Linked DNA regions of Tamandua tetradactyla. The protein of the gene in region 1 interacts with the protein of each later gene in a biochemical or structural test. Links are inferred from orthologs where the notes say so. Each region holds a gene or a part of one and is shown in the gene's direction. Other genes may lie near its edges. The genes, in order: CASP3, HCLS1, PANX1 and granzyme B-like.

Region 1 (7,378 bases):
GAAAAATCAATAATCAAATTTATTTGGAAGGGCAATTTAAAAACATCTTGAAAAAGAAAAATGAAGTCGGATGTCTCACACTTCCTGATTTTAAAGCATATAACAAAGCAACAGTTGACAAAGAAGCATGGTACTGGCATATAGATATATCAACCAACAGAACCAAACTGACAGTTTAGAAACAGATCCTATCAACTACAGCCAACTGGTGTTGACAAGGCGGCCAAGTCTACTCAACTGGACTGAAGAGGCTCTTCAACAAACAGAGCTCGGAGAAATGGATATCCTTATCCAAAAGAAAGAAAAAGGAACCCTATCTGACACCTTATACAAAAATTAATTCAAAATGTATCTAAGTCATAACATCAAAGCTAGGGCCATAAAACTCCTGGAAGAAAATGTAGGGAAACGCTTTAATGATCTTGTGGTAGCTGGTGGTTTCTCAGACCTTATTCCCAAAGCACAAGCAATAAAAGAAGAAATTATAAAAGGACCTCCTCAAAATTGAACGCTTTCAGGCATCAGAAGACTTTATGAAAAACATGATGAAATGTTCAGAAAACCACATATCCGATAAGATTTTAATATCCAGAATACATAAAGAAATCCTACAACTCAATAGCAAAAAGACAAACAACCCAATTTTGAAAATGGGCAAAAGACATGGATAGACACTTTTCCAAAGAGGCATATAAATGGCTTAGGTGATGCTTTTCCAGTACTTGTACTTATTGAGTTGATAAATATTGTCTTGTATTTTAGTATAAAACTTTAAGGCAACACCAAACTCACCACAAAGCATATTATTTCCTGGAAGCAAAAACAGAACCACCCCAGACGACTGAGAGAGTGTAGTAATAGTATGTGTTTTTTTTTTTTTTAATTTTTAAAAAAGGCATATTATTTCTTTTAATTTCCTGACTGCAAAAACAAATACCATAACATGGGTTGCATTAAACAATAGGAATTTATTGGTTTACAGTCTGATGGAGGAGAAGTCCAAAACTGAGGTGTCAGCAAAGCCGTGCTTTCTCCCCAGACTGGTATTCTGAGGCTGGCTAACAGCAATCTTGGCCCTTGGCTTTTCCGTCACATAGCAATGTACATGGCAGCATCTTCTCCTTTCTCTTCCAAGTTCCACTGACTTACAGCTTCTGTCTGCTCCCCAGGACTTTTCTGTTCAATTTTCCTTGCTTATCAAAGATTTCAGCCACACAGAATTTAGGCTCATGCTGGTTCAGTTTAAGCACTCCCTAACTAACAGCACCTTCAATTACAAATGGGTTCACACTCAAAGGACCAGCACTTGGGTCCTGATGAAGCCTTTTGGAAGAGACATGACTCAGTTCCCAACATTATTCATAGATTTCAAGTTCAATTTCAACCATAACAGATCTAAGAATGATTATCCTCTAAGAATCACATGAAAACTATAAACCAAGGAAGAAAAATACAATTCCGAATGTATCATTACAAATTTTATAATAAATATCCCTGGAAAAGGAATATAATCTCAGAGGATTGAGGAAATGAAGCAATTAAAAAAAAACGCTTTTTTTTTTTATGCAAAGTGATATGGTTCCTTATTGCTAGATTGAATCTGAGTGTTCTGGTTACTTTTAATCTGCTTCACATAAAGATAAAAGTCCCCCAAATCTCATTGAGATTAATATACATCATTTTCCTTACACGTATTAACATTTAGCAAAGTCCACTGATAACATAATGAGGAAAATGAATACGAAGTAAGTCAGACCTGAATTATAATTACTATCTTACCAATGACTAAGAGTAACCATATGTAAGTTCACACTTAGGACACTGAAATCATCTCAGGACCTTGTCAAAATCTTGACATGATCATGGATTGTGTCACACATAAAAATTATGGAGTCACAACAGAAAATCAGTGTTGGTATCACTAGAATAGGGAAACCACGAGCTTTGAAAGAAGAAAAAGAAAATTTCAATATATATCATGTCCCCATGTTATGTTGCACAGCTGAAAAATTTAACAGCTGAAGCGAGGGTTGGAAGACAATGAGGCTTGAGCTATTGAGCAGGGAGGGCTGAGTTAAAAAAAAAAAAAAGAGGAAATGAGAGCAGGAAAGCATCTGACATTCTGGTTTTAGACTATAATATTCCTCATCCTTAGGTTTATGCCCAGACTTGTCCAGCTATGAAATCTGATGGCTTGTTTCCAGACAAATAGACTACGGGGTGCAATCTTCATGATCACTGACTTCTAAGGAGATCTGAAGCCAGCTTTTTTCATCTTCTTATCTCATCACTGGTTAATTCTTGTTCCCAATTACAATGTCTCCCTCTGACCTGAAATTAGATTCGTTAATATTTTGTATTTTCTAGTGTTATATGTTCTATTCTACTATTTATTATGCTCTGCTATTTGTCAAAAATTTTTTTTTTAATGTTAAGCCTTTACTGGTCTCCTGGAATGCACTGATACTATTTCTCCAACTACTGGTAAAGTTTTCATGGTAAAGTATATGATTAAAACTCATTTGCAGTAAAAAAAAAAAAAATCATTTTACAAGTTTACCTTCTGGATGAATATTAAGAAATTAAATAATTTACTAATTGTCTTTTTTTTTCTTCCATTTTAGTCACTTTGCCTGTCTATGCTTGAACACAAACCCATATTTCAATCCCCCAAAATCTACCATAAGGGATAAGAAACAAACAGCAATATATTGTTCTTTTCCAGTTTTTCGAATCTACTCACCCTCCGGATCTCCCATACAATCAGCATGACTGAAGCAGACTAATCATCTTTAAAAACACTTTCATAACTTTTCAGAGCAGCACTCATGTTTCACTGCATCACTCAAATTCACAGTATAATTTACCTCAAGGAATAGAAACTCCCCTCTGTAATCTGGCCCTAAATCACTTACTTATTTTATTTCTCTCTGCTCAGCCTTCTCACCAAATAAAGAATGACTACTCCTTATTCCTGGCTCAATCCAAGAGCCTTTTTGCAAATGTTATTCTCGCATGTAATGTCCCAGGTTGCCTTTTCCCGAATCTTCCACCTCAAGGCGCACATCAAGTTCTGCCACCGGTAAAGATAAATTACCCGGATCAGTCAGAAGCATACCTCCTAGACTAAAAAAATTAGCATAACTTACAGGAAAACAGAAAACTGCTTCCGGTAAGTAATCGTGTTGGTAAATTCAGACAGGGGCTTGGGTAACACAAATGGATGGGGTAAAGTGGACTTTTTTACCCATCCTGGTTGAGAGTGGGTCCTATTTCTCAGGTTTTTGGTTTGTTTATTTTTTTTACAGCGGAAAAAGGAATGCAAAACACTTATTCCCTCTTTGCTTGGGAAAGATAAAAAAAAAAAAGGCCTCCGTTTTATTCCTGGGATCTGAGATTAATTCCTGCGACTGAGCTATTAGCAAATGCAAGCAATTTAATCTCTTTAAACTTTAGTGGTGGCTAGAATTCCTACCTGGAGGGGTTGTTGAAAGAATAAAATAGGAAAATGTATTATGAAAAGATAAGAGCAAGAAATAAGCACTCAACAAATGGTAGCAATATATATAACCATGAATATTTATGTACAGAATACAGCCCCTTCCTTACACCGAAGAAACAAAAGTGTTGGGAGTAACCTAATACTTAACAAGCGGTCCTGACTTGGCGTCGTTATGTCATGAACTGCTTAAAATTTTGTGCAGAATTTCTTGCCCATGTGTGCTAGTATATTCTTCTAGAAAAGCTATTCATAATCAGCATTAAGGTGTGAAATGAGTTCCTGTCCCAAAACAGCGCGGGAACCAGGACGGCAGCCAAGGCTTTTGATTTAGGGTCATGGAATTGCCGTAAAGGAAAGGGAAAAAGATTACCAGTGCGGGTCCCGGCCTGCTCCCCTTCTTCCCACAGGTCAGACTGGGCGTCAGGCCGGCCTCGGCTCCCTTCTCTCCGTCCCCGGCCCGGGCAAGGCCTGTCTCTCTCAATTCACTCCAAAACCCCGGGCTTGGGATGGAAGCCCCCCGGCGGCGGACTGAACCAGCCACGCTGGCGGAACCGCGGCTTCAAATTAGGCGCGGGGGCGGGGCCGCGGCGCGGGCGCGGCGGGGTGGGGTGGGAAGGACCCGAGGCTGCCCGGCGGAGAAGGAAGGAGGCGGGCGGCACGTGCCGCGGCGGGACATGCGGGGCGTGCGTAGGCCTGACGGGGGCGGGCTCCCGGATGGAGACCGACGGAGTTCGCGGGCGTGCCGGGGGCGGGGCGTACGGGACTGGAGGAGGCGGACTTCCGGGAGGCGAGGGGCGGTGGGCGTGGGCGTGCCGGGGGCGGGGCGTGCGGAGCTGGAGGGACGTGTCGGCCGCAGGGGAGAGGTGTAACGGGCTGGGGGCGGGGCAAGGCGTCCTGGCGCGGGGTGAGACGGGGGCGAGCCCTGTTCGCTAGCTCACCTCTTCCCGCTGCGGCGCGCAGAGCTCCACTAGCACCGAGCGGAGCGGAGCAGGGTGTGCGGGAGCGGCCTTTGACGACTGTGCGGTGAGTGTCGCCCTCGCCCTTTCAGTCGCCGCGGCGCCCTCAGCCCTGGGCCCGCTCCCCTCTTACCTCCCTAGCCCAGCGCCGGCCCCGGGGCCCTGCCCGAGGCCACAGCTGCTCGGACTAGGCGGAGCTGGTAGGCACGCGCCTGGCTGCATCTCTTTTGTTTTGCCGCGACGGTGGGTGCGGGGATGAGCGCTGAAGCCCTGGGAGCTACAGGCCGAGGAGCGGGAGGCCGGGCCGGAAGCCCGGAGCTGGGCAGTAGGATGCTGATTAGTGACCGCGGCCGAGACTGCACCCTTGTGTGGTGGATCGCGGAGCGGAGGACTGACCCCGGGAAACGGTGCCCCGAGGGTGTGTGGCTGGCCCGGTGCTAACCGAGGAGAGCTGGCCCTGGGCCTGATTCTCTGGCTCCTTTGTGGTTTTTTTTTTTTTTTTAACAGGGGCTTGGTCTCTACTGCCCTGTGTATCTGGACCCTAGATTTTTAACTGTTAACTCTGTGGTTTAGCTTTTCCAGAGAAGTTATTTCGAGCATGATACTCAAATTCCTTTTAAGATATGATGGTTTTCTGCTCCTTCTTAGAATCTGTGAGCAAAGTCACTTAGGAGCTGCTCTGAAATCCCCTCAAGACATAAATTGAATAGGGTTACCATTTCACACTAGACACTCTTTATTCAATAAGCCCTTTCACAAGCTTTGCTTCCCAAGCTGCCTCTTTCCTCATTCTCAGTAAACGGATTCCCAGACAGTTATTCAGACATCCTCTTTCTGTTGCTCCTTCCTGCCCACGCCATCCCTTTCCCGATCAGCCCATTTCTCTCCATCTCTGATTTTGGCCACCCTAGACTCATCTGACTACAGCAGCCACCTAACTTATCTCCCACACTTCAGACCCATCATCCACCTCTTTGGCCCATTCTTTACAGCACCGACAGCTTTATGAAATGAAAATCTAGAAAGTCATGCCTGTATACCTTTGCCCTTAGGGTAAAGCCAATCCCTTTAACATCGTTAACAAAGCCAAGCGTTAGTTGGCCCCTGCCTTGTCTTTTACAATTGCCAGGTTTCACTTTCTGCACAGCTGTGTTAACCTCCATACCTGTTCTCTGCCTGGGCACTCTGGCATTCCCTTCCTTCCGACCCCTCACTTTTGCTTGGAGAACTCCTGCTTATCCTTCTATAATTAAATACTTCAAGGTTAGGTCTTCCTAATCTGTGTTTCTCTCACATCCAACATTTCCCTTATAACTTGTGTTATACCCTTTGCAGGTACTTGGTTCACTATCTTCCCTGCTAGATTGTAAGCCAAGTCCATGTGGACAGGGACCATGCTAACTTATCTTGGAGTTCCTTATTGTTTTTCTGTGCAGAGCCTGGCATTAATGTCTGGATGTCCTTCCATTTGTCTTGTTACTGCAGTATTATGCTTCATAATAATTATGCCCGACCTATGAAAAAAATAATCTGTTTTGGGATTACATAGGAAATTAAAGTTAAAAGAGGTGACTTAAGAAAGGGAAGTAAAATTTGGAGTCCCCGTAACAGTATGAATATACAAGATAGCGGTAGGAGATACACAGCAAGGTGCTTAGACCAGTCTGTGTCAAAATGTGCTTAGCCACTTTGAATGTGCTAGTGGTGACATGATCTCTAAGAATAAAATGTAAAATTTAAACCACCTCTGTCACAGCCTGGTGCTTGAGCTTTGGTTTTGCTCTGCTCTTTTGCCAAAGAAGGCTTTTGAAAGTGAGAATGTGTGGTAATGAATATAAACACTTCACTGGAGTGGCAGTAAACCCTGTTCAAGGTAAAAGCAATGAAACATTGTACCTAATTAAATCAAATTTCCTTTTACTATCCTGAAATAAAGCCTTGCCTCCTGCTATTTTAGGATACTGAATTCTCTTTTGACTTAGGCAATTACCATGTTCTTTACTCTTTTGCTTTCAAACCTAATTTGACACAATCTCTTACTGCTTCATCCCCTTTCTGATGCTATAGGCAACCTTTATTTTCATGAATGACATTTTTATTGATTCTGGTGCCCAGTATTAGGTAGTTTTTTAAGCTCTATCTTAAATGGGAATCACTAGTGTTTGGGCCTGAAAAAAGATACAGTAATTCTTAGACTCTTAGCTATGTTCTTAGAATGGTTTGTACACATTTAAATAAAAATGTAATGGAAGAAAAAACATACTCTATCAGACAACCTGAGACTAAGTCCTAATCACAACAATTTACTAACTCATCCATAAATTGGGTATGAAATACATACCTCACAGAGTCATGAGGATCTATGAGATAGTACCAGTAAATGTAAAACTATGTAATGTTAGTTATTTCTCTGCATATTTTTTTCTTGCCTTCAAATAATGCTCTATAAGAATATAAGCTTATAGAGTTTCTGAATTAGGGTAGAGTAAGATAAAATTATCTGATGTGGACTGTCTGACATCTGCCTTGTTGAGCTACTTTCAAATACTCCGTGACCATTGATATCAGCCCACATGGGGCCAGGGACTTTGTTTCATCCATGACTTCATATACTCAGAGTTTGATATAATGCTCTGTACACAGTAGGTGTTCAATAAATTATTATGGTGCAAATGTAAAATGAATAAATGCTACCGACTTTGACTTTGGGCAGTTTTGAGCTCTTTTTGGCATGCAGGACATTTTTAATCTGATGGTTATAAACCTGAATCCCAATTCACCAGGGCAGTGATTCTCAATAGGGAAAAGGGAACATTACAGGTTACTAGTGTATCTTTTACAAAAAGATCCTTCAATGTATATTTGTTTTATACAAAGTATACAGAGCTGCACTTACCTGTTTCTTTGTTCCTCCAGAAAG
Region 2 (7,299 bases), on another chromosome or scaffold:
TGTTCTGTTACCTTCATTTCCTTTGATATACTTGCTATTTTTGTAAGAAACCATTGAGTAGGTAAAGGCAGCTAGTTAAAAGGAGGAAGTTCTAGAATAAATAAGCAAATCAGCAAAAAAAAAAAAAAAAAAGAAGAGAATCTGAACTGCCGATTCAGTCTAGTTCTAAAAACCATAGAAATCTTTTTTGAGTGCTTTTGTCTATTAGCCTTTAAATATTTTTTTTAAAAATGTTTTTTAACGAGCTTCTCTGAATCAGATATGGTGTAGTGGGAGGTGGGGGAGGAAGCATGAGGTTTAGAGACCCCTGGATTTTGAATCCAGGCTCCTCTCTGCCTCTTAACTGGCTATATCACCATGGTCGAGTAATTTAACCCCTTTAAGCCTTACTTTGAGAGTAATATATCAACATCAAACCTTGAGAATGAAATACATGTAAAGCACCCAACCCACAACATCTGATACTTAGTAGGCTGACTATTCATGATACTTACTTTTTACTGCTATTGAACAAAACCAGTCTGCCTTACACTCCTTGCATGAGGACAGGTGCTGAGATAACAGCCTTACTTGTGATGCTACTGTGCTACGTGGGAAGACTTCTGAGCTGCCTCCCATGCTTATGAACTAATGCCAAGCATCTTTTTTTTTTTTTCTACACAGGTTAGAACACAGTGAATGGGACTCTGCCCGGACTCCTATCATTGGCTCCTGTGGCACCCAGGAGCAGGTGTTAATAGATCTTACAAGCTATAGTTGTCAAAGGGTAAGAAAGGAAGAAGGATAAAAAGAGGGGTTCTATGCTACCAAATGGGGCTAGTTGTATTGAGGGCAAGGAATCAAGGAAAGAAAATATGGAAGTCCAGCCAGTAAGCAGCTAATGGCTATGTGAGTAGAAGAGTATGAAAGGTTGGGAGAAACTAAAAGAGTTTGTCAAACCCTCAACCCTGAGGGGCCTTTCACCCAGGATATCTCTTTTCTGCAGTGGTTAAATCAGTGTTGCTTAGATGCGAGATTGATGGGGAAAGGGTAATAGACACACCCCTATATGTTGAAGTGCTCTAACGTCTATATTTTTCTTTCAGACCCGGAGTGGTGCTGGATGGAAGCGGATTTTGCGTTCACTCTGTCATTCCCGGACCCGGGTGCCACTGCTAGCAGCCATCTACTTTCTGATGGTTCATGTCCTACTCATTCTGTGTTTCACAGGCCATCTGTAAATTTACTTGTCCCCTTTTGAACTGTTCCCCAAGGAACTTGGGATTCCTCTTGTCCTTCATGTCAAAAGCATCAGTTCAAATGGAACAGTCTTCCCACATACAGATCATCTCTCCAATTCACCACAGAAAGTGGCTGCGAAACAGTGGTGGATATGGGCTCAAGTTGGAGTTACAGGGACCAGCAAGTCTCCTCTCTTCTACTTAGGCCTGAATATATCTGCAAATCTGAAGAGGCTTCACAGTTGGTTTTTGAGCCCAATATTTAGATTTTACAGGGCTCTGATCATCTTTTGTGGTCCTGTAAAAAGATGTTGAGGGGTGTCTTTCACCTAGGAGGATAGTTCCAATAAACCTAATAATCTGAAGTCCAGTAACATTTTGATTTATAGTTTCCTTGTTTCATTTACCTTTATATTTTCTCCTGCTTCATGGGGAAGGTGGTGCTGCCATAATAAAAATTATGGGGAATGAACACATCACCTCATAGGACATCATGCACAATGGAGTGAGAGCTGAAGAACTCCCCAGGGACTTAGTTTTCAGCTACTTGGTCCCAGAAGAGGACAGTCTCACCTTCCCTGGCTGTTCAGAGATAAATGGGGATTTGCATTTCTGGGTTAATAAAGATGGATCACATTTGCCTAAGACCCTGATCTCATGTATTCAAAGGGATAAGTGATTCCTGCCTTTAAGGAAGAAGAACTGGCAGCAATCAGTGTGTTCAGGTTCTTGACCTTCCTCTATTATCAGGATATGCCTCCATTGTGGGCCCTGAGATGGTGCCTAGCAGCCAGCAAGAGCCAGTCCTAGGCGAAGCATTGACTCCAAGCCTGGGAAGTCTTTACAAGTCTAGCCTGGGACCACACTGGACTCACTCTTATCTAACCTCTTGAAATACTAAACAACTTTGCTGTTGGTGATGGTTATTCCACTTTCTCAGCCCCATGATCATGTGCTCTCTGTGGTAATAGAAGGCTGAGACAAAACAAGAGAGGATATAGGGAAGATGAAATATTTAAATCTAGGTCTGAGAATGACAGCCAGGATTAAATTCCATTTGTGCCTCCTTTCTGCCCTACCACCACTACCACCATACTCATTAATTATTTCCTTATTGTTCACATGGTGTGTTTCCTGCCTGCTTCACAACCCAAAGAAGAGAGAAGACTGGTGGACTGATCTGCTGTAATTCTTTGTTCTCTGGTGACCAAATCTTGGTCATAGCATCCAATAAACTCTCCTGAACAGCTGTAAGATAATAAAGTTATTTTCAGAATGAAGACTTCTGGTTATATGTGCATGTTTGTGAGTTGTACATCTACATGAGTGCTTACATATGTGTTTTTGCATGCTGGGGAGCGGAAAGTAAGGTAGGAGGCATGAGATGAAGTAGCTAGAAATGGAAAGAGGTAGAAAGCTCTGCCTACTCAGTCTTCCTTTTCACTGGCCAGTATCAGCAATGGTTGCATGCTATCCTTTCAGCCTTAGCCACTAGAGCCCAGGGTGCTGAGGTGGAGTGAGCAAATCCCATCTAATACCAACCAAACAAGTTGGGCCTTCATGCAGCAGAAGAGCAAAATATACCTAAAGGTGGTCCTGGAAGAATTCTTGTCTGGTACATGTTGAAGGCATTTGACTGCTAGGTATCTGTCTGCGTGGGAGCAGGGAGAAGGGAAGTTTAACAGCATGGAGTCGGTTGGATGGACATTATTTTTCAGTTCTGCTTGAGAAAAACTAAGTTAATTCCTCCAAGTCCATTAATAAATGGCTCAATTGAGCCAAGTCTGTAGCTTCAAAGCCCATTTCTATGTGTTATTTCTCACTCCCTCTCATCAGGAATGAACTTGGATTGGGACATTTGCTAAAGAGAGATGGAGTTTCTTACTGTTATCTGTGATAATTCCAGGGTTTTTCTAGAAGGTGGTAAGTCACAATATCTGGTCTGGTAATTCCTAATTTGGGCACTGAGGTAAGACTCCAAATGATCTGAAAGATGTTTTTTCTGTCTACAGATTTGCTCTTTAAATAACTTTGATGTTGCTATGATAAATAGGTCATGAAGTAGGAGCGATCAATAAATGGAACTCCCTCTGGGCAGAGAATTCTTAGATTTGGAAGTGACCTGAGAAGTTTCCTATTCCTGACTCGGGTATCCCTTCTGTACCTGGGCCCATTTCATTCAGTCTCTGCTTGAACCCTCTGGGGAGCTCAGGACTGTGAGCAGTCAGGTCAAAACTCCACAGCCAGTGAAGATTAGTGGAGGCCAGGTGAGGTACAGTAACAAACACCCCACATTCTCAGTAGTGAAACAACAAACGGTTATTTTTTAAAGGCTTGTAAGTTCCTCACAGGAAGGATGGTATTCTGCTCATGTTGTCATTCTATCTTGGGGACCCAGGATGCCAGAGGACCACTGGAGAAATGTGGGGTACCTTGGTGGGGCCATGAGGGAAAGAGCATGGCAAAACTCGCTGTGATCTTAAAATCTGCACCAGAAAGTGATACATTCACTTCTCACATTTCATTGACCCAAACAATTCTGGTCAGGCCTAAGGAGAGAGAGGAGCAGCAAACCTTGATGAACGGTAATACAGAAGTCTACAAAGACCTTCCATCTGGTACCACTTGGTTCTTTCAGATTTCTTCCTACTATTTGGAACGGAATCTTTGTACCAGTTAGCTCAGACTCTTCACTGTTCCCCAAACAAGTTATGAGCCTTTCTTCCTTCATACCTTGCCTTGTGTCTTGCCTTTCTCTAAAGAGTTATTCCCTCCTGCCATTTAACTGATTACATCAATTTTATTTAAAAGGCCCTAGATGCAAACCCCAGTTTTAAGTGCTGTGGAAAAGGTAGAAATGTAGCTTCTTTTTAAATCTTACTCTTCAACATCCACCTATTATTTTTCCCATTAAGCCTTTCTTAATTACTACTCCCATACTAAATTCTGTGAATTACTTTAACATGCAACTGCCCACAGAATTTAGGTCACAAATGCTGTCCTATCTCATTCATTTATGGGTTTTCTGGTTGAATGTTTTGATTCTCTGACTAGATTATAAACACAGGATAAGAACAGCATTTTCTGTCACTTCCCTATGACCCTCAAAGCTTGCAAAAGAGTAGGCACAGAGACGTAACATTAACCCCTTTTTTTATTTAAGTCCCTGAGCACAAGGAACTGACTCAAACTTCAGGAAGTAGCTGTGAGGACAGTGTGGCAGGAAATGACAGCAAACCTGAATACGGAACTGAAGCAGCAGCTCCGACTTTCTTGCTCTGAAGTGCCAGCAGCTAGAGAGGGAGCGTGGAATCACCCTGAGGAGCTGAGATCTGAGTGCAGACACACTTGAAGGTGGGTGCTCTGAACAGTGGGGGGAAGTTAGGAAGCACAGAACAAGAGTTGAAGTAGGTGGAGCTTACTTGGGTCTTTCCCCTCTGGGGAGTTATAAGGTTACTGCTATTAAATATTTAAACTTTTATGGCCAGAATGTGTGTTGGTTGTAGAAATCGGCATCTGGGGATGAAAACAGAAGGGAGGGTCAGGACTCCAGGGAGCATGATCCAGCAGCCATCCAGAACACCAGACCATGTGAAGTGCTGCCTGGTTTCTACTGACATACTACAGCCCCCTCTAAGGCCTACCATTCCTAGGCACTGAGTTGAGAAGAAAACCCCAGAAGGAGATGAAGACAAAGCCTTGAAGGGCATATGATCTAACCAGAGAGGCGAAACCCACATAGGAAATGTTCTAATTGAGCAGGAAGTACTCGCTAAAGTACACTTGTGCTGAGAACCAAGTGCTGATGGGAGGCCAAGTGAAGACGTGATAGATAGCTGGGGTTAGTTTCTGTGATTGTAGGATTGAAGATTCCCAGAATGTCAGAACTGGAGGGGACTTTGTAGATTAGCTGGAATAATGCTTCATTTATTTTCCAGTGGGGGATTCTCAGTGATTTTCTCCATTTATTTAAGTTGGTGTTTACAAATTGCCTAACGTGGTGACATCTAAGTTGCTTCCCTGTGCTCATGTTCTCATCAAGGACTTAGTAAAAGAGCTGGGTGAACCCTGGGTCTTCAAACTCTCAGGCCTTGCACTTTACTGATGCTGCAAGGCAGCCTTGTGATGAGGCCCTTGATTGCCTGTAATAACTGGGCCATCCATTCCCCACCACATCCCTCTCTAGTCTCCCATCTCTCAATAGCACCTCTTGGCTTCCCTTTATCTGGTCAGGAGGGAATTGTTTCTCTGTCAGAAACTCTTCCTACTATTTCAAGAAAGGGGGAAGATGAGAGAGTCAACTGAGATACTGGACTAAGAGCAGGATAAAGGGTGGGGCCACTGGTCCTCAATGCTTCCTTATTGTACACGAATATTTAGAAACTTCTCTTTTCCAGTTTTCTGTGTTAAGCTGTTAGTTGCAGTGCAGCCCGGGAGTCAGGGCTTAAGAAACGTGGGTTGTAGGTGGTGGAATTATGAGTCTTGTCCATCGGTCCTCATCGTAAGTGACTTCCTGGGCAGGGAAGGCAGAGCTGCTCTCTGACATATCCTACGGCCAAGTTGCCTCATCAATGAATCACTTTTCCCATTCCACCCCAAGTTCCCTTTGCATAGAGTTTCCAAGGGGTTGTGCAAAGAACAGGGAGAAAGGTGGAGTTTACAAACAGAAATGGAACATTTGAAAGAAGAATCTGAGGGTCTAGGTGCAGAAAAAGGAAAGCCCTAGGTGTGGTTGTAAAAAAGACAATAAGGAGCATGGGGGAGGCCTCCAGTGGGAAGAGAGTGCTGAGCTGGGAAGGACAGGCAGGAAGATTTCCAGCTAGCAAGTGGTGCTGGGCCCACCTGAGTCTGGAGAGAACTTATCATAGATGTAGATAATGCTAAAAATCTGAATGTCAAAATTGCTGGTATAGTTCAACTGTGCCTAAATCTGAATGTCAAAATTGCTGGTATAGTTCACCTGTGCTTGGAGTATATCTATGAGACATGCAAATATACCCTTAGAATTATACTGCCATTTCATTCAGGTTTCTACATATGACTCTTCTCACAATTGTTGAAATAACATTGATCCAGTTCCTGACAAAGTAAGCAACATCTACACTCCTCTCTCCAACCGTTCACTCAGTTTCTCTCAGATAACCCCCTCCACTCCTCCTCTGACTGTGCAGGGGTGCTTTTCTACAACTCTGGTCTACCTCAGTTTTCTATCTCAAGAGAATATGGCGAGAAAAATTAGGTCTCCCTTGTCACTGATTTCAGCATACTTTTCTACTCTTGATACTTTTTATCCCTAACTATTCGCATCATCTGTCACCCTCAGATGTGGAAGTCTGTAGTGGGGCATGATGTATCTGTTTCCATGGAGACCCAGGGTGATGATTGGGACACAGACCCTGACTTTGTGGTGAGTTTAGAAGTAGCTTTGCTTGGACAATGAAGAGGGTGGTGGTGGGACATCTGAGCAAGGATGTTCTGGGACTGAGACTGCTCTTATAGTGAGAATGACTGGTAGCATACGTGGGTCATGCATAGTAGCTGGTGATGAGGATGGTAGGAGACAGGTGGGGAGGTGTTTGACAGTTTTATTTTCAGACTATGGCAAATTATGCTAAAGGTGAGAAATAGGCCAAAATGGGTCTCCTTTGGCATACAATCTAGGATTTGAGGGCAAATGTATAATTTGGGGGGATTAAGAAATTATATGAAAGAAGGAGGGGAATATTTGAGGGATGCAGAAGGAAGGGAGGTTTCTCAATTTACTAGTTTAATTTCCACATGGGGTCAGGGCGATGTACACTGAAAAAGGAGTCTGAATTTAGGCACCGGCTGAGGAGACAGCTGATGCAGTGGACAGGGAGGACTTGCCAGTCTTGTGGCTTCTCCTAGTTAGCACATCTCTTCTCATCACTTATTGCCAAGGGCTGTCTTTGCAGAATGACATCTCTGAGAAGGAGCAACGATGGGGAGCCAAGACCATCGAGGGCTCTGGACGCACAGAGCACATCAAGTAGGTGCCAAGAGGACTGAGGCTAAGGAAGAGGTTGTGGGAGAACCCAGGGGGGTGTTGGATGCTTGG
Region 3 (7,838 bases), on another chromosome or scaffold:
CTTTTCATAGGAGAACCTGGCAAGGAGAAGCTCTATTTCTTTGGCAAGACTCTAGGTCCCAGAGGAGCCAAGGTGGCCTTGGTTATCCTTTTTATCATCGGATTTCTCCTACTGATAGCCACAGTTGTTCTCTCTCTCAGACTCCACTCTGCAAGGAAGAAGATGTCATACCAGGAGGTCCAGTCTTGCGCACTCCCCACCGATGCTCTGTGAATCATCTGGTCTCCTTCAAGCAGGAAGGTGTGAGGTTCCACATCTGGACAGATGGCTGCCAACAGGGAAATTGGACCAACAGGCAATGTTCACCAAGGAAGGTTGACACTATATGCTGGGTCAGGCTTCTGATCCTCTGGAACATAATCCAAAGCAATTTGCTTTTATTTATATTTTTTAAAATAAGCTATAAATAATCCTCAGGTATGAAATGCAGAAAAAAAGGAGAATTTTCATGATTCAGAAATGCCAACTCTGTTCTCTGAATGAATTCACTGAGTGAGGAGATCCTCTGAAAGATATCTTTGTTTTACATTTTTCATAATTCATATATTGAGCAGTGCTTCCTCAGCTAACTGTAAAAGTTTCTAGATGGACAACTTTAAAAAGACTTAAAGCACTTAGATATCTAACTAGAATAGTACTAATTTTTCAGCACTGTTATGTAAGAAGCCGCCCTTAGTTGTTCCAGGGAAAATAAGTTTCTGAGGAACTCATAAAAAAAACTAAGTTAAGATTTGCTGATAGAATTTGACTAAATGAATATTTTGGAAGCTTCAATCAGCTCTCCTGACCTTTCCCCCTTTTATTTATAAATAGCCTGTGCACTGTTTGCTAAAAAAGGTAAAGTTATAAGCATTTTCTTAAACTTGCTGCTGTTTTTCTGCAACCCTGTAATGATACTTCAAATGTTTACAACTCACTTCATGTTATATGTTTTTATATAATGTTTCTGTGGCAATGTTTGCATTTTCAAAAGTCAACTAAAGAATTTCTATTTATATTTCAGAATCCTGGAATATTGGAATCTGTGAAATAGCAGGCTAGATTCTCTCACTTTCAATCAAGGACTTCCCTGAAAGTTCAGTGGGAGCATCTGAGGGGAGAGGGTAACTTTGCAGGAGACGTGTCTAGGCTTGAATCTTGAATCCGATTTTTTCATTAAGTTAGGGGGATCTTTCTACATCTTCATCTTCTATGAAATAAAAACAGTCTTATATGAGAAACACCAAGAGGAATTCATCAACGCAGCTGAGTTTGGGTTGGGTGGAGAAAGGATCTCACAAAATCCTAGATTTCATGCCTCTTAAAACATGGCCCTTTACTGGAGGAGGAAAAAAAAGGGAACGGAAAGGCATAGAGAAGAGGGATATCTAGAAAAAGAAGTTTCCCAAATAGCAATTTTTTTAAACCATGAAATCATCTTAAAGATAAGTATTAGTTTTCAAGACTCAAATGCAAAAATAAATTATTAATTTATTACCAGGCAAACCATACTCTGTTCTACATGCCTTAACCTTAGGTATAAGATTGATAAAAGCAACATTGTTTATTACTAGACTGAGAAATTGCTCTTAGCTCAGGCCAAGAAATCCTCTGCCATGCCAGGTGGGTGGGATGTTCACACATCTGCATTGGCAGTGGGTCATTTGAATGTCCCGGTGAACAAGTAGGACCTAATAAATATACTGGTGAAGGGTCTTTCATACTTTCTCATCTTCATTTTGGTGATGGAAAAGGGTATTTGATAGATACTTTAGGGGAAAAGGTTATTTGATAAAAGCTTTAGTGTCACTTAAAACAGTATGTGAATGCTAATAGTTGGGCCCATAGGTTGCTTGAATGCTGTATCTAACAAGGCACCTAAAGGATTTTAGATTCTAGTCTGTTAACCACTAGCAATGTAGTATGTGCTTTACAGTTTTCATGCATGTTTTCGACTGCATAATTACATAATAATTATGACAAATGCCTTCTTTATAACCTACCTGTAGTAACACAATAAATTGTTTAGTTACAGTTATAAGCTTTTTCCTTTCATTTAGTTTATTTTTTGTAATGAAAACAAAACCACAAAGTCAGTTGATTATACCCTTTCTCTGTTTAATAAACTTTCCCATATTATCAGACAGCTATTTGTATGGTTTCTTTCACTCAAGACTACTTATCACTAAACCTGGAAGGTGGGGGCTAGTAAAAAGACAATTATTTTTTAGATATTTAGCAAGTACCCCAGTAACACTTGCTAGAGGAAATGCCATAAAATAATAGTATATCTCCACAAATAATATGACAATTCAAACATTATTAGTCTATCTCTAGACATCTGCTCTCTCTGACAGCACTCCAAGCATCTCCAACGTCTGTGTGTCGGTTGGTTCTGAAGCAACTGTGTTTTCAGCAAAATGTCTCCCCTTTTAAAGGACTCCAGTAACTAATCAAGACCCACTTTGAATGGGTGGAGTCACATCTCCATCTAATCAAAAAGTCACACCCACAGTTGAGCATGACACATCCCTGTAGAGATAATCTAATCAAAAGTTTCTACCCTACAGTACTGAATCAGGATGAAAAGAAACAGCTTCCCCCGCAAGATTGGATCAGGATTAAAACATGGCTTTTCTGGGGTACATAACAGATTCGAACTGGCACAACATTACTTTCAAACCAGCACACTATCCATTTGACAGAGGTGTCACAGATTCTGGCAGCCTGTCTTCATAGTCCAGGTATCATCCTGTTGATGACTTGAGTTAGACATTTTCATGGCCTAAGAACTATATATTGTAACTTAATAAACCCCCATTTTAAAAGCCAACCCATTTCGCGCAGGCCACAGTGGCTCAGCAGGCAAGAATGCTTGCCTGCCATGCCAGAGGACCCGGGTTCAATTCCTGGTGCCTGTCCATGTAAAAAAAAAAAAAAGAAGCCAACCCATTTCTAGTATATTGTATTCCAGCAGTTTTAGCAAACTAAAACAGTTAAGGAAGGCTTTCCTGGGGAAGTGACATCAAGTTGAGACTAGGAGAGTGAATAAGGGTCAGCCATGCAAAGAGGCCATTGTAGAGAGCCCTTTTTTGGGCAAGGGAAGGTACGGAGGAGGAAACGGGCCTGCCTAACTCAGTGAACTGCAGGAGACATAGTGAAGCTGGTGAAGTAAACAGTGGCCAAATCTTGGAGATCTTTTTGGCCATACTAAGAAATTTGGATGCTTCCCTAACAACAATGTACATTTTAAGTAGGGGAGTGACATGAACATATTAAAGCTTTTCAAAAGCCTCTCCTGGTACCTGTGGGTGACAGTGGCTTGGGAGGTATGGTATAAGAATCACATACCCCAATTTAGACATGTTGTTAATTTTAATCCTCATTCCAGTGGGTGTGAACCTATTATAATAGGATCTCTTTGAAGATGTTATTTTAGGGAAAGTGTGGCCCACCAGTGTGGGTGGGCCTTAATCCAGATTACTGGAGTCGTTTATAAGCAGAAGAAATTCAGACATAATGAGAGAGGAGCCAGACATCAGTGGAACCCAGAAAAGAAAGGAAAGGACATTGCCATGTGACTGCAGGCAGGGATACAAAACCCAAGGAAACCCAGAGATCACTGGGAGCCAGCACCAGAATATCAGACTTGGGGAGAAAGCATCACCTTGTTGATACCTCAATTCTGGATTTATTCCAACCTCGAAACTGTGAATCAATAAAATCTTGTTGTTTAAGGTCATTGTGTGGTGTTTGTTGTAGTAGCCTTGCAAAATAACACCAGAGGCTTTGGGGAAAGAAACATTTGTTTATGTGATTAGGAGAGGATGGGAGCTTGAACTGGGGTGTTGGGAGTATAGATGGAGAGCTGTCAGATTTGTGATATTTAGGAGAAGAAAATTTGTAAATTGGTTATGGCAATGGGAGAAAGGGAAGCATTAAAGACAGGTTCCACGTTTCTGGCTGGGGTGGGTGGGTGGATGATAGTACATTTAGTAAGATGGAGAAGACTAGAGTTGCAGTTCGAGAGGAAGATAAGAATTACAGTCCTGGTCAATAGGACTTTCAAGTCCTACAATTCACTCAAGTGGAGGGCAGTTTAGGCCACTGGGTGTGTAATGGGAGGAGAAGCAGGGGTGGAGATGTACCTGTGGGAGTCCAGAGTATACAGAGGATGCTTGCATACATGGAAAAGCCCAAGTACAAAGAGAAGGGAAGGCAGCCCAGCTGGCCTTAAGTAGCCCTCATGTTGAAAGATCCTGTCTGCTTCAAATGCTGTTACAGCATTTACTCATCATCCATTTCCTATAAGTGGTTCACCCCCTTCTACGCAGACACCCCTCCGCTGGCTCCCGGGCCTAGGCTCTGACCCGGGAGGCACAGGAAGCACCCGGCAAGAGCAGCGCTAGTTGAGCCCTGATACCTAGTCATTGCAGCGTTCCCCAGTGTCCTTGCACCTTCCTCACCTTCCTCTCAAGCGCAGAGCTCATCAGAGGGCCCAGCGCTCCCTTTTTCTCACTCCCTCGTTCTACCCTGTTTGATTCGTCTTTTAAGGCATCCTTTCTTCTTTGAGGCTTTTGCAACTCAATTTGACGTGATTTCACGGTATAGAAATGGTAGGGCTAGGGTGTAAAGAGACCATCCTGTCTAAATAAATAAGAGGTCGCTGTCAGAAATGATTTCAATAATCCCGGTGCCAGGAAGTAGGAAGATTGAAGATGGGAAGGGCAGGAGAAATTTTCAGAAAGGCCGCTTAATGGGAAGATCCCCCCCTTAGTGGGAGGATCCGTACGCTGGATGCTGGCGCGCCCACCCCTACCCGCGTCACCGCGGTTTCCGGAAACTCCACGCCCCTGGGTACTCGGTTTCTCCGGATGGTTCCGGAAGAGTGGGGCGAAGCGGCAGAGAGAGCGAACCGGCCGGCCGGGACGCTGCACCGGCCGCTGGGGAGGAGCGGAGTGGCCAGGGCTTTGTGCCCCAGTTGATTCTCGAGCCTGCGGACTCGGGAGAGGCGCGGAGCCCGGAAGGTGCGCGCGTTGCGCCTGCCCCGGCACCCAGCGAGTCGAGCAGGGGCAGCTGCATCCCCAGCGCGGGTAGCTGGGAGTTCTGGCGCGCCGAGACACAAAGGCAGGCAGGATGGGGCAGCTGCAGAGTCGGCAAAGGAAAAGCGAAAGCCGCGGGCCCCGCCGGTGACCCGGTGAAGGCGCCGCTCCGCTCTCCCGACGCCGGCGGTGCGCGGGCCTACGCTCGTGGGCCTGCCGAACTGAACCCGGCGCGCCGCAACCATGGCCATCGCCCACCTGGCTACCGAGTATGTGTTCTCAGACTTCTTGCTGAAGGAGCCCGCGGAGTCCAAGTTCAAGGGTCTGCGGCTGGAGCTGGCGGTGGACAAGATGGTCACGTGCATCGCCGTGGGACTCCCGCTGCTGCTCATCTCGCTGGCCTTCGCTCAGGAGATCTCCATAGGTAAGGCCATGGGCGAGGGCAGGCGGGGCGGAGGAGGCCCGGCACGCCTTATCAGGGCTGTCTTAGACTGGCAAGATGGGATTTTACTGAGCGCCGGCCAGAATCTCGGCTTGCTGGCCGCTGCGGTGGCGTGCGCGTTGAGAAGGAAGGTAGCCCCGGTTTTACGGTCCGAGAAGCACTCTTTACCCGTGGCCTCATTTGTAACTCTGTGCTGTGGACCCTGTGCCCGGCCGTTGCAGCCTCCTGCGTTCCATCCCCACTACTCAGCTCTTGTTTCCTGCGCCCGCTTTGTCCCAACTGTAGTGTTCCTGTTCCACCTGCCATCGGATTAGCAGAGGACACCCGCCTTCTCTCTTTTCACACACACGCGTTTGTGCAGTCACATAAAATTTGGGGCCAAAGAAGTTCCCGTGGGAGTAAATGGAGTGTGCACAGAAAAGTGCTCCACGTAAAGAGTGTTCTCTCGCTGTTTTACGAGTAATTGCTATTTGCTGGGACTCAGCCATGCAGAGTTGGGACTGATAGGCAACACCTGCGCTTGACAAGGCCTCGGAGGGATACCAACATCCGCCGACTGGACGGTGTTTTTATGAACGTGAGATGAACAAGTCACCTTTATATAAGTTCTTATTTGATCCTAATAACAATTCTGGGAGATATGAAAGGCTCGTGGGTTGGGCAGGATCAAGTAACTGATAAATTTCTGGTTTTCTTCCTCATCTGTTCTTTCAGCACAGGAGAGTGTTTATGAAGCCACGGAAAGAGTGTAGTGGAGTAAAAGAGGTAGAGGCCAGTGCACCTACCCGGAGGGCAAAGCTCTTTATTGGACGTTGGGCTGGCCTGGAGCCTTGGAGCACAGATAGGATTTGGATAGCAAATTTTGAACACGCAGGGAAAAGTATGTGTTCCTGGAAGGGGAGAGACAGTGACTGCCCTCCTGGAGGCAGGAGGACTTGTTTGGATTTTTCAGATCTGAGAGTGAATATGGGCCTGGGTCAGATTAGAACAGAGGATAGCAGTCATGGTTGAAGACGTGGGAAGTTATCTGAGCAAAGGATGGACTGGCCAAAACTTAGTAAATAATAGCCTGGTGGTGGTGTAGGCTGTGTGGAAGGAGGGCGGAGAATGGAGCTAGGGAACTGGAGGCAGAAGGTGAGGCATCAGTTGAAGTCTTGTGCATGGATGGGGATGAAGAGTAGAAGGGAGAGGATGGGAATGGATGATTTGTGAGAGATCAAAGAGCAATAAGCAGGCCTCGGGTCATTAGTTTGTTGTATATGTGTGTGTTTTGTTTGTTTGTACCTCCACTTTTTCTTAAAAGCAGTTTTATTGAGATACATTCACACACCATACAAATCCATCCAAAGTGTACAATCAGTGCTTCGTGATATCACCACATCGTTGTGCATTTATAGCCGTGATCGGTTTTAGTACATTTTCATTACTCCAAAATAAATCATCCCATGCTCTCCATTATTGAGCCTTAATATCAGTGTGGTGCATTTGTTATTATTGATGAAAGAACATTGAGCCATTACTGTTAACTATAGTTCACAGTTTACAATAGGTATTTTTCCCCCATATACCACTCTATTATTAACTCTTTATAATAGTGGTAATATATTATATTATATTATAATATAACTATATATTATAGTTCTAATATAAAACTAGTACATTAACTAGTTTTTAATAGGGAACACAGGGCATATACTGGTCAGAGTTGCTGCAAAGCCTGCAGGGCTGGATGGGTGGAGAATGGCATTGTTGATAGAAATAGTAAAATTGAGGGAAGAGTTGGTTAGAAAAGGGTGTCAGTGTGTTTGATTTTGTGATCTTCACCCCACATTGTTCAGTTCGGCAGGAAGTTACCAAATTCATTGTGGAGCATAAGTTTTCAGTTTCCTTTGCGTTTGGGCAAGCATAGTCATCAGAGTTTCCTTTTGCCTTCCCGATGACCAGGGGTGGAGGCATCCAGTAGATAGGAAAACCACCAAGTAGCATGGGTCCTAAAGATAGTCTCTTCCTTTAGCAGATGCTCCTAGAGTACCAGCTGTGAACGCATGACACGTGGTCCCTGTCCTGGAGAAGTTGATCACCCTCTGTGACCAGCTCTACCTCTGGCTTATGAATTAGAGGGAATCCTAAGGCACTTGCACCATAGTACTTTAGGCACAGCCCAGGTGATGAGTTGTTTGCGAGGTATTTGTATAGCTTTGGAGTGGGTTTACCTGGCAAGGATTTGAGTTTTTGCTGAGCCTAGTACTTTTGTTGTGCCCTGAGAAAAATGTAAAAGGAGTTTTGAGAGGTGGTCCTCTCCTGGCCCATGGGAGTTTACCATGTCACAGGGATGAGTATGCCAGTGGATATGGCTAGCAGGTATTGCCATTCGG
Region 4 (7,501 bases), on another chromosome or scaffold:
TTGAGCAAGAGTTGACACCAAGCCCTGGAGTTCCCCAGCTTAAAGGGGGCGGAATTTGCCCCCTCCAGGCATAGGGCAAGAAAGGTTTCCTGGAGCTGTGCTCCATTGGCCCAATCACTCCACCCTTAACTGGTCACTGCAGGCTTCAGATCCCGCCTAAATCCACAAACTACTTTGCAATATCTTTCTTGGGTTCCCATCTTTACAGAGACTAAATCAGGCCGCCCAGCCACAACTTTCCAGTTCGAAGCAATTTGTGACCCTTGTGATCCTAAAACAATTACCTAAGGCAATGTGTCCATCAGCCCCCACTGAAGGGTAGCTGGGCAAGAAATAAAAGAATGGTGACAAGATGATTAAATGGGCACACCATTCAAAAGAGGAGACCTTGGAACTGTGCAGGGGGGAAGACTCGCCTCCGGTCCTGGGCCACCAGCCCCCTGTGCTGGACCCTGGGAACCTCATTTGTGGCTGAACCAATGAGTGACACACATGAGTTATTTAATTGTGTTTAAAAGCCATTGTCAGTGAGAGAGAGAGAGAGAGAGAGAGAGAGAGAGAGAGAGAAACCATCTGTGCTAGTTTGAAAGGAAGCATGTCCCCTAAGAAAAGCCATGTTTTAATATAAATCCCATTTCATAAATGTAGAATAATCCCTACTCAATACTGTATATTTGAAACTGTAATGAGATCATCTCCCTGGTTGATGTGACTTAGTCAAGAATGGTTGTTAAACTGGATTAGGGGATGACGTGTCTCCACCCATTTGAGTGTGTCTTGATTAGTTTCTGAAGTCCTATAAAAGAGGATATATTTTGGAGAATGAGAGATTCAGAGAGAGCAACACTACGAAGCAGAGAGTCCACCAGCCAGCAACCTTTGGAGATGAAGAAGGAAGATGCCTCCTGGGGAGCTTCATGAAACCGGAAGCCAAGAGAGAAAGCTAGCAGATGATGCCATGTTCACCATGTGCCCTTCCAGCTGAGAGAGAAGCCCTGACTGTGTCCGCCATGTGCCTTCTCACTTGAGAGAGAATCCCTGAACTTCATCGGCCTTCTTGAACCAAGGTATCTTTCCCTGGATGGATGCCTTTGATTCTACATTTCTACAGACTTGTTTTAATTGGGACATTTTCTTGGCCTTAGAACTGTAAACTAGCAACTCATTAAATTCCCCTCTTAAAAGGGACATTTTCTCAGCCTTAGAACTGTAAACTAGCAACTTATTAAATTACTCCTTTTAAAAGCCATTCCGTTTTGGTGTATTGCATTCCAGCAGCTAGCAAACTAGAACACCATCACTACCAAGGAATATCACAGACCTAAAGGAACAGTCCCTCTAACAATAAAAAAAGGCAAAGAAAAGAAGCATATTGCAAAAATCATGTTTTTGTTGTTGTCACTTTTCTTTCAGAGAGCATCATACAAGTCTCCCCTCCATATTAGAGACTGTGAGAGCAGAGAAGACAGCAGTGAGACACTTACTTAGGGAGCGCGTCTTTGGGGACGTCAGGGAGCGGGAGCCGAGGACCATGCCACTAGGCAGTTTGGTAGCTCGGTGGGCTGGACAGAAGAGGCAGAGAGCCCCGGGGGAAAGCGTGGGGGTGGCATGGACTAGGGACATGCGTGTGGGTTAAGGACCCCTAAGCTTTGGAAATTTAAGATTTCCAAAACAATTTAGGCTCATGTTTCTTTTCATAAATCACCAGCATTTGACTGGAAATCGGGGTCCAGGCTGCTAGTAGTATAAAAGCCCATGGAAATGAGGAAATAGGATTGAACTGCAATTATATAATATGTAGCATTGTAAAAATAGCATTGTCAGAAATTCACATAGGGACAGTGCAACAGTGGCTCAGTGGCAGAATTCTCGCCCACCGTGCCGGAGACCCAGGTTCGATTCCAGAGCCTGCCCATGCAAAAAAGAAAAATTCACACAGGTTATGTCTCCTTAAAACAATACCCAAGTGAGAGAATATTACCAAGATGTATTTCTCTTTCCATGTCCTTGTGGCAAACACAAGTGGATAAATCACTCGATTTTAATGTTTTTATGATCTTGATAAACTATGATCCAGAAATTGCACTTCTGAAAAGTCAGCCTGTGATAGAACCAGAATATGAAAAGAAAAAAAACTTCTGTGCATAAAATTTTTATCACAATATTACTTCTAATTGTCCAAATTTAAAAACAACCTATAGTACATCCACACAATGAAAGATAATACAGTGGTTTGAAAGGATTTTTAGGAATTGGATAGAAAAAATTATCTAAGGACATGAATAAGGATGTAAGATAAACCAAAAATATATGACCGATAGACATGTATAGATACATTAAATACCTAAATTAAAGATAGATTCAAATTACAACATAAGAATGATTATAGTCCATGCAGCTGTGAGTATACAAAATGTTATGTTCATAACCCAATTTTATGAGCTTCCTGGAAAGCCATTTTTCAAAATAACCAAAAGGCCTAAATTTGCATACAAATTTCAATCCAGCAATCCCACTCCAATAATTTATCGTAGGAAAACTGGATATCCACACAAATTAAGTTGCTCATCAAAATATATTTATGCTAGCAAAAGTATTACAAGCAAACATGAGGTTCGGCAATGGATGGTGGATTAAGTAATTTATGCTTTCATTTTTAATTTCACATGTATAATAATGATAGCTACTATAATTCTCATGTCCTGACAGAAAAAATGTACAGCAAATTTTATTAAGTATAAAATGTTTCAGAGTATTATTTTTAGCATAATCCCCGTTTAATTTTAAAAATTCATAAATATTTACATTGGAGAAAAATGTGTTTGCTCATACATGAAAATATTAAAAATGTCTATCAATGAAGGACAAGAAATCAGGTAACTGTTTTCTCCTTGCTTAACTTATATTTTTAACTTTCCAATTTGAAAATTTTTATTATTTACTAATGTTAATTTTTAATTATTAGAAAAGAGAGGCTGCAGTGATAATAACTAATAGATTTTTAACAACATGAGGAAAACGCTTATGTTATAAGCTTAAGTGAGAATATAATATATCCTGAGTGATCACAAGTATTTAAAATACACTAATTATATCTGACATCTTTGTGTGAGATAGACTGATATTTTTTCTTTCTACTCTCCAAAGTTTTAATGAAAATATATTACCACTATAACCTAATTTATTAGATTATACTATTCCACAAGCTAAATTCTAAACGGTAGAGGTTTGATAAACATAGTTTGTTAATTCTTCGTGAGGAGGAGATTAAGGCTGTAATTATATATTTTGATACCTAAAATTCCTCATGTGAAATACAGAAAATATAAAGACGAAAAATTAAATCACCAGAATCCAGACCTCAGATATAGTCATTTCGTACTTCATTTCCCAGAATTGGGCTTGGTCTCTGTAGCCACACCAATCCTTACATTCAATCAACATAGTTTGATTAGCAAATGTTTACTGCGGGTATATTATGTGCAAGGCCTGCTAAATCAGAAGTGTGGCTCTCTGTACAGAAGACAGAAAATACTAAAAAGATCACTATTAGCCTTTGGGTGCCCAACATGCTTTCCCACTTCACATGGTATCAGCAATTTAGTAAACTCGAGAACCAGTTTTTCCCATTCTTTTTTTTTTTTTTTTAAAGAAAGACAGAGAAGGAAGGAAGGATAGAAGGAAGGAAGGGAGGAAGAAAGGGAAACATCTTTAAACATTTTCTTATTTTATTATATTTTGTTTGTTTGTTTGTTTTTTACATGGGCTAGGGCCGGGAATCGAACCGGGGTCCTCCGGCATGGCAGGCAAGCACTCTTGCCCGCTGAGCCACCGCGGCCCGCCCTTTTCCCATTCTTGATTCTTGTGTTGGGCGAAGCTGACCCAGCCTACCCATGGAAGGAATGACCTAGGCTTAAGCCAATTGGTGGAGTCAATTTCTTGGGCCATAGCAATTCATTAACTTAGGCCAATAAAAGTCAAATGCAGGACTTTGTTAAAAACATTACGGGAGATGTTCTCTTTAATTCTGCACATCTGCATGGTCAAGAATAAATGAAGGATGTTAAACATTTCCAGGGAAGGACACAGTGATGACAAGTGGGATGCTCCATGGCCATACTCTCCTTACTGCCATCGTCCCTCTGCCATGGCCCTCACCATAACCTGGTCACTAAGGTTTTTCTCTCCTCCATCATATGGTGGGCTCTCAAAGGAAGGGACATACGTCTTCAATAGGTTTGATCCTAGCACAGAGAAGGGCCTAAAGACACATCTGCTGAGGACATCTTCTTGATGGACTTGGTAGCACAGAGATGAAGACACTGATGGTTCCATCACTGGGGCTGTCACTCAGGTTTCTGAGACTCAGGACTTCTTCTGGGCCATGCCACATCCTATAGTCCCACCTTCTACCCTTGGGCCCCCAGCCTGAGCTGGAACAAGTAATCTGCTCTGAGTCATCAGCTATGGGGACGGACGTGGTGACTGCATGACTCTCACACAACCACCCAGAGAACGTCATCAGGCAGAGGTGGTGGGAGTGGGGTCAAGGGCAACTTTCATAGAAAGGCTTCGAAGGGTGAAGCCCCACAAAACCAGAGGAAAACAAGAGGTTTCTGAGCCTACCAACACTTTCTTCCTCTCCTGAGGGCTTAAAGACAGCAAGAAAGAGAAGTACCAGCCACTCCAATCCGGGCTACCTTCCTAACAAGATGCAGCCACTCCTGTTTCTGTTGGCCTTTCTCATGCTCCCTGGGGGAGAAGCAGGTAAGTGACTGTCCACACCCTCAGGGCCCCGACCTCATCCTATGGTGGGCACAGATCCCCTGCCCCTTGTGCACAGCTCTGATCCATCTACCTGCCAGGAATATTCTGAACCCCAGCTCCAGCCCCACCCAAGTCTGCCAAGGGTGATGCTGGACAGTCGACAAGAATGGCAGGGTAGAAAAGGCCACCCTCAAGAAGAGCCAGTGGGTGCTCTCCTTTACAGGAAAGTATAAAGGGACTCTCCTAGAGGTGCATGGCAGATAGTAGGAAACTGAGAGAGAGAAGAGGTTAAATGCCTCCTGGAGACACCAAATCACCTGCTTGGGAGTGGTTGAGATGGGAAATTGTAGGTCGATATATGTTTCCCTAATTTTTTACAAAAGGGAGAAGGGGACTATAGAGACAATGGCAATTCAATGCAGTTCATGAACTGAATATAATATTAGAGGAGAAAATGTTCAAAAGGACATTACTGGAACCACTGACAAATTGGAATACGAACTATATATCTTATATTAATGTTAAAGTTCTTGAACTTGATAACTGTACTTAATATGGTTACATAAATAACTATCCTTGTTGCTAAGAAATATGCATTGAAGTTTTACATGTTCAAGGAGGATAATGTATGCAATCTATTCTCAAATGTTTAGAAAATAGAGATAGATGGTAATTAGATATAAATAGAGAGAGAGAGAGAATGATACAACAAATGGGGCAAAACATTAAAATTTAGCAAATGTGAATATTTGGATGGGGGTATATTTGCGTCCTCTCTATCAGTTTCATAGTCTTTTTGCACCTGTGCTGTAAGTTTGAAATTATTTCAAAATTAAAAAAAAAAGTTTAAAAAGAGGTATCGTGGGCGTGGCTTCTATATCTGGGACGAGGCAGGCGCTCCCCTCACGCTTCTACTTAGGAGAGAATCCCAGACCTCAGCTGACCCCATAACTGTGGGATCATGGTCCCCACACTGTGGCTTTTGCCTCTGCTCCACCTCGATGCCCTGACCCACCCCACCCTCAGTCCATCGCTACAACTCTGCTTTTCTTGCCAGGCCATGGCAGCTCCCCTCTGGTCAAGGATGGGCTGCTGACTTTGGCAGACCCCAACTTCTCTGCTTTCCAGATTCCCACCAGCATTAGTCCTACAGCCCTCATCCAGAAGCTATCTGGAGGCCATTCCTTCGTGCAGCCAATGAACATTTCCTGGGCACCCACTATGTAAAAGGTTCTAGGAAATAGGACATGACAATATTCAGATCCCTAAATTTATGTCCTGCCCATTAGGAAGCAGCACTATCGGAGACAGCATAGGATTCGCAGGCATCTTGGAAACTCACTTCATCCCAACTCAGCTTCACTAGAAGCTCAGAAAGGACTTTTCAGGGGTCTCTGGGGCTTCTGTACCTAAGACAAGTACACTTGGCTTCAACTACGCGCAGAACATTTACAGAACAAGGGCTGTTGCTTTCCCCTTCTCAGAGGAGGACATTGGGGCCGCTCCCACCTCCCCACCACAGGCCATCCCAGGCTCCCAAATAACCAGCCCTTCTGGAGTCACCAACCAGGTGGGTACCTGGTGGAATCTGGGGGTACCCAGAAGCATAACAGATTTTTCCTTCAGGGAAGATCATCGGGGGACATGAGGCCAAAGCCCACTCTCGCCCCTATATGGCATTTATTCAGTTCTGGAAACAGGGGCATAAGAAAAGGTGTGGTGGCTTCCTGATACGAGAAGACTTCGTGCTGACAGCTGCTCACTGCTGGGGAAGGTGAGAGCAGCAAAGGGCCCACATCCACCTGGAAACACTCCGCAGGGACTCCCACCTTCTTCCCAAGGGGATTCCTGGGCTCTTAGTAACACAGGTACAGAGGAGCTCCTTGGAGAAAGAGGGCAGCTAACTTTCTGCAGAAAGGGGAAGGTCAGTACCAAAGGCATTGCTGAAGAAAGGCAGACTAGATTATCAACCCTATCTTATTTGGAGCTGGTGGCAGGCATTGGGATCTCAGTGCAAACTGAAACAACTTCCCATGTTTTTCTAGGGGTAACTGATCTCTGAGAACCCCTGGAGCAGTTCCCATGGGCTGCAGAATCCCACCTGGGCTACCAAAAAGCAGAGGGCATAGAAAGTTCAGCCCCAAGGTAGTCCTGTACCCTCAATTTCCCCTCAACTGCAGTCCTGCCCAGCCCCGGGCTGTCTCCTGTCCTTCAGGGTTCCTGGGCTCTATCTCCTGTCACTCATATCCTCCACTTTCTTCTCTGTGCAGCTCATTAAATGTCACCCTGGGAGCCCACAACATCAAGAAGCAGGAAAAGACCCAGCAGTTCATCCCTGTGAGAAGCGCCATCCGCCACCCAGCCTATAATCCTAAAACTATCACCAATGACATCATGTTACTGCACGTAAGACAAACCTCCCTGCTGGCTCTTGCTCTCCTCAGACCAGAGAATTTCTCCACCCACGGTGATCCCTGTACATTTTCTTTTTCCCACCCTGGCTGCCTGACTAGTTTTAGTGCCCACGAGTCTCAGAGGGAAGGCAGTGCAGCCTCCTTGGGGTTTCCAGCCTAGAAGGCTCCTGGCTGCCCTAGATTCTCTTCCTCTCCCTTCCAGCTGGAGAGAAAGGCCAAACGGTCTGCAGCCGTGCGCCCGCTCAGCCTGCCCAGGCTCAAGGCCCGGGTGAAGCCAGGGCAGGTGTGCAGTGTGGCCGGCTGGGGGCAGGTCGCGAGGG

The links.
Region 2: of the proteins of CASP3 (region 1) and HCLS1, one has a biochemical effect on the other in vitro, tested with the Homo sapiens proteins (2 studies listed by BioGRID). The link is inferred for Tamandua tetradactyla from reciprocal best matches to the Homo sapiens genes CASP3 and HCLS1.
Region 3: of the proteins of CASP3 (region 1) and PANX1, one has a biochemical effect on the other in vitro, tested with the Homo sapiens proteins (2 studies listed by IntAct). The link is inferred for Tamandua tetradactyla from reciprocal best matches to the Homo sapiens genes CASP3 and PANX1.
Region 4: of the proteins of CASP3 (region 1) and granzyme B-like, one has a biochemical effect on the other in vitro, tested with the Homo sapiens proteins (2 studies listed by BioGRID). The link is inferred for Tamandua tetradactyla from reciprocal best matches to the Homo sapiens genes CASP3 and GZMB.

The regions. Positions count from the first base shown.
Region 1 is NC_135352.1:27,971,114-27,978,491, forward strand, and holds the start of CASP3 (caspase-3), read left to right. Parts: upstream 1-4,365; 5' UTR 4,366-4,525; intron 4,526-5,077; exon of another isoform or gene 5,078-5,972; intron 5,973-7,354; exon of another isoform or gene 7,355-7,374; 5' UTR 7,375-7,378. UniProt on the Homo sapiens protein: Thiol protease that acts as a major effector caspase involved in the execution phase of apoptosis. Following cleavage and activation by initiator caspases (CASP8, CASP9 and/or CASP10), mediates execution of apoptosis by catalyzing cleavage of many proteins.
Region 2 is NC_135336.1:24,106,528-24,113,826, forward strand, and holds the start of HCLS1 (hematopoietic lineage cell-specific protein), read left to right. Parts: upstream 1-4,299; 5' UTR 4,300-4,574; intron 4,575-6,543; coding exon 6,544-6,627; intron 6,628-7,156; coding exon 7,157-7,230; intron 7,231-7,299. Other genes in the region: GOLGB1 (golgin subfamily B member 1), read left to right, coding at 664-766, 1,086-1,220. UniProt on the Homo sapiens protein: Substrate of the antigen receptor-coupled tyrosine kinase. Plays a role in antigen receptor signaling for both clonal expansion and deletion in lymphoid cells. May also be involved in the regulation of gene expression.
Region 3 is NC_135334.1:48,832,213-48,840,050, reverse strand, and holds the start of PANX1 (pannexin-1), read left to right. Parts: upstream 1-4,823; 5' UTR 4,824-5,264; coding exon 5,265-5,445; intron 5,446-7,838. Other genes in the region: ferroxidase HEPHL1, read left to right, coding at 11-213. UniProt on the Homo sapiens protein: Ion channel involved in a variety of physiological functions such as blood pressure regulation, apoptotic cell clearance and oogenesis.
Region 4 is NC_135340.1:29,963,589-29,971,089, forward strand, and holds the start of granzyme B-like, read left to right. Parts: upstream 1-4,487; 5' UTR 4,488-4,712; coding exon 4,713-4,767; intron 4,768-6,393; coding exon 6,394-6,541; intron 6,542-7,037; coding exon 7,038-7,173; intron 7,174-7,383; coding exon 7,384-7,501. UniProt on the Homo sapiens protein: Abundant protease in the cytosolic granules of cytotoxic T-cells and NK-cells which activates caspase-independent pyroptosis when delivered into the target cell through the immunological synapse. It cleaves after Asp.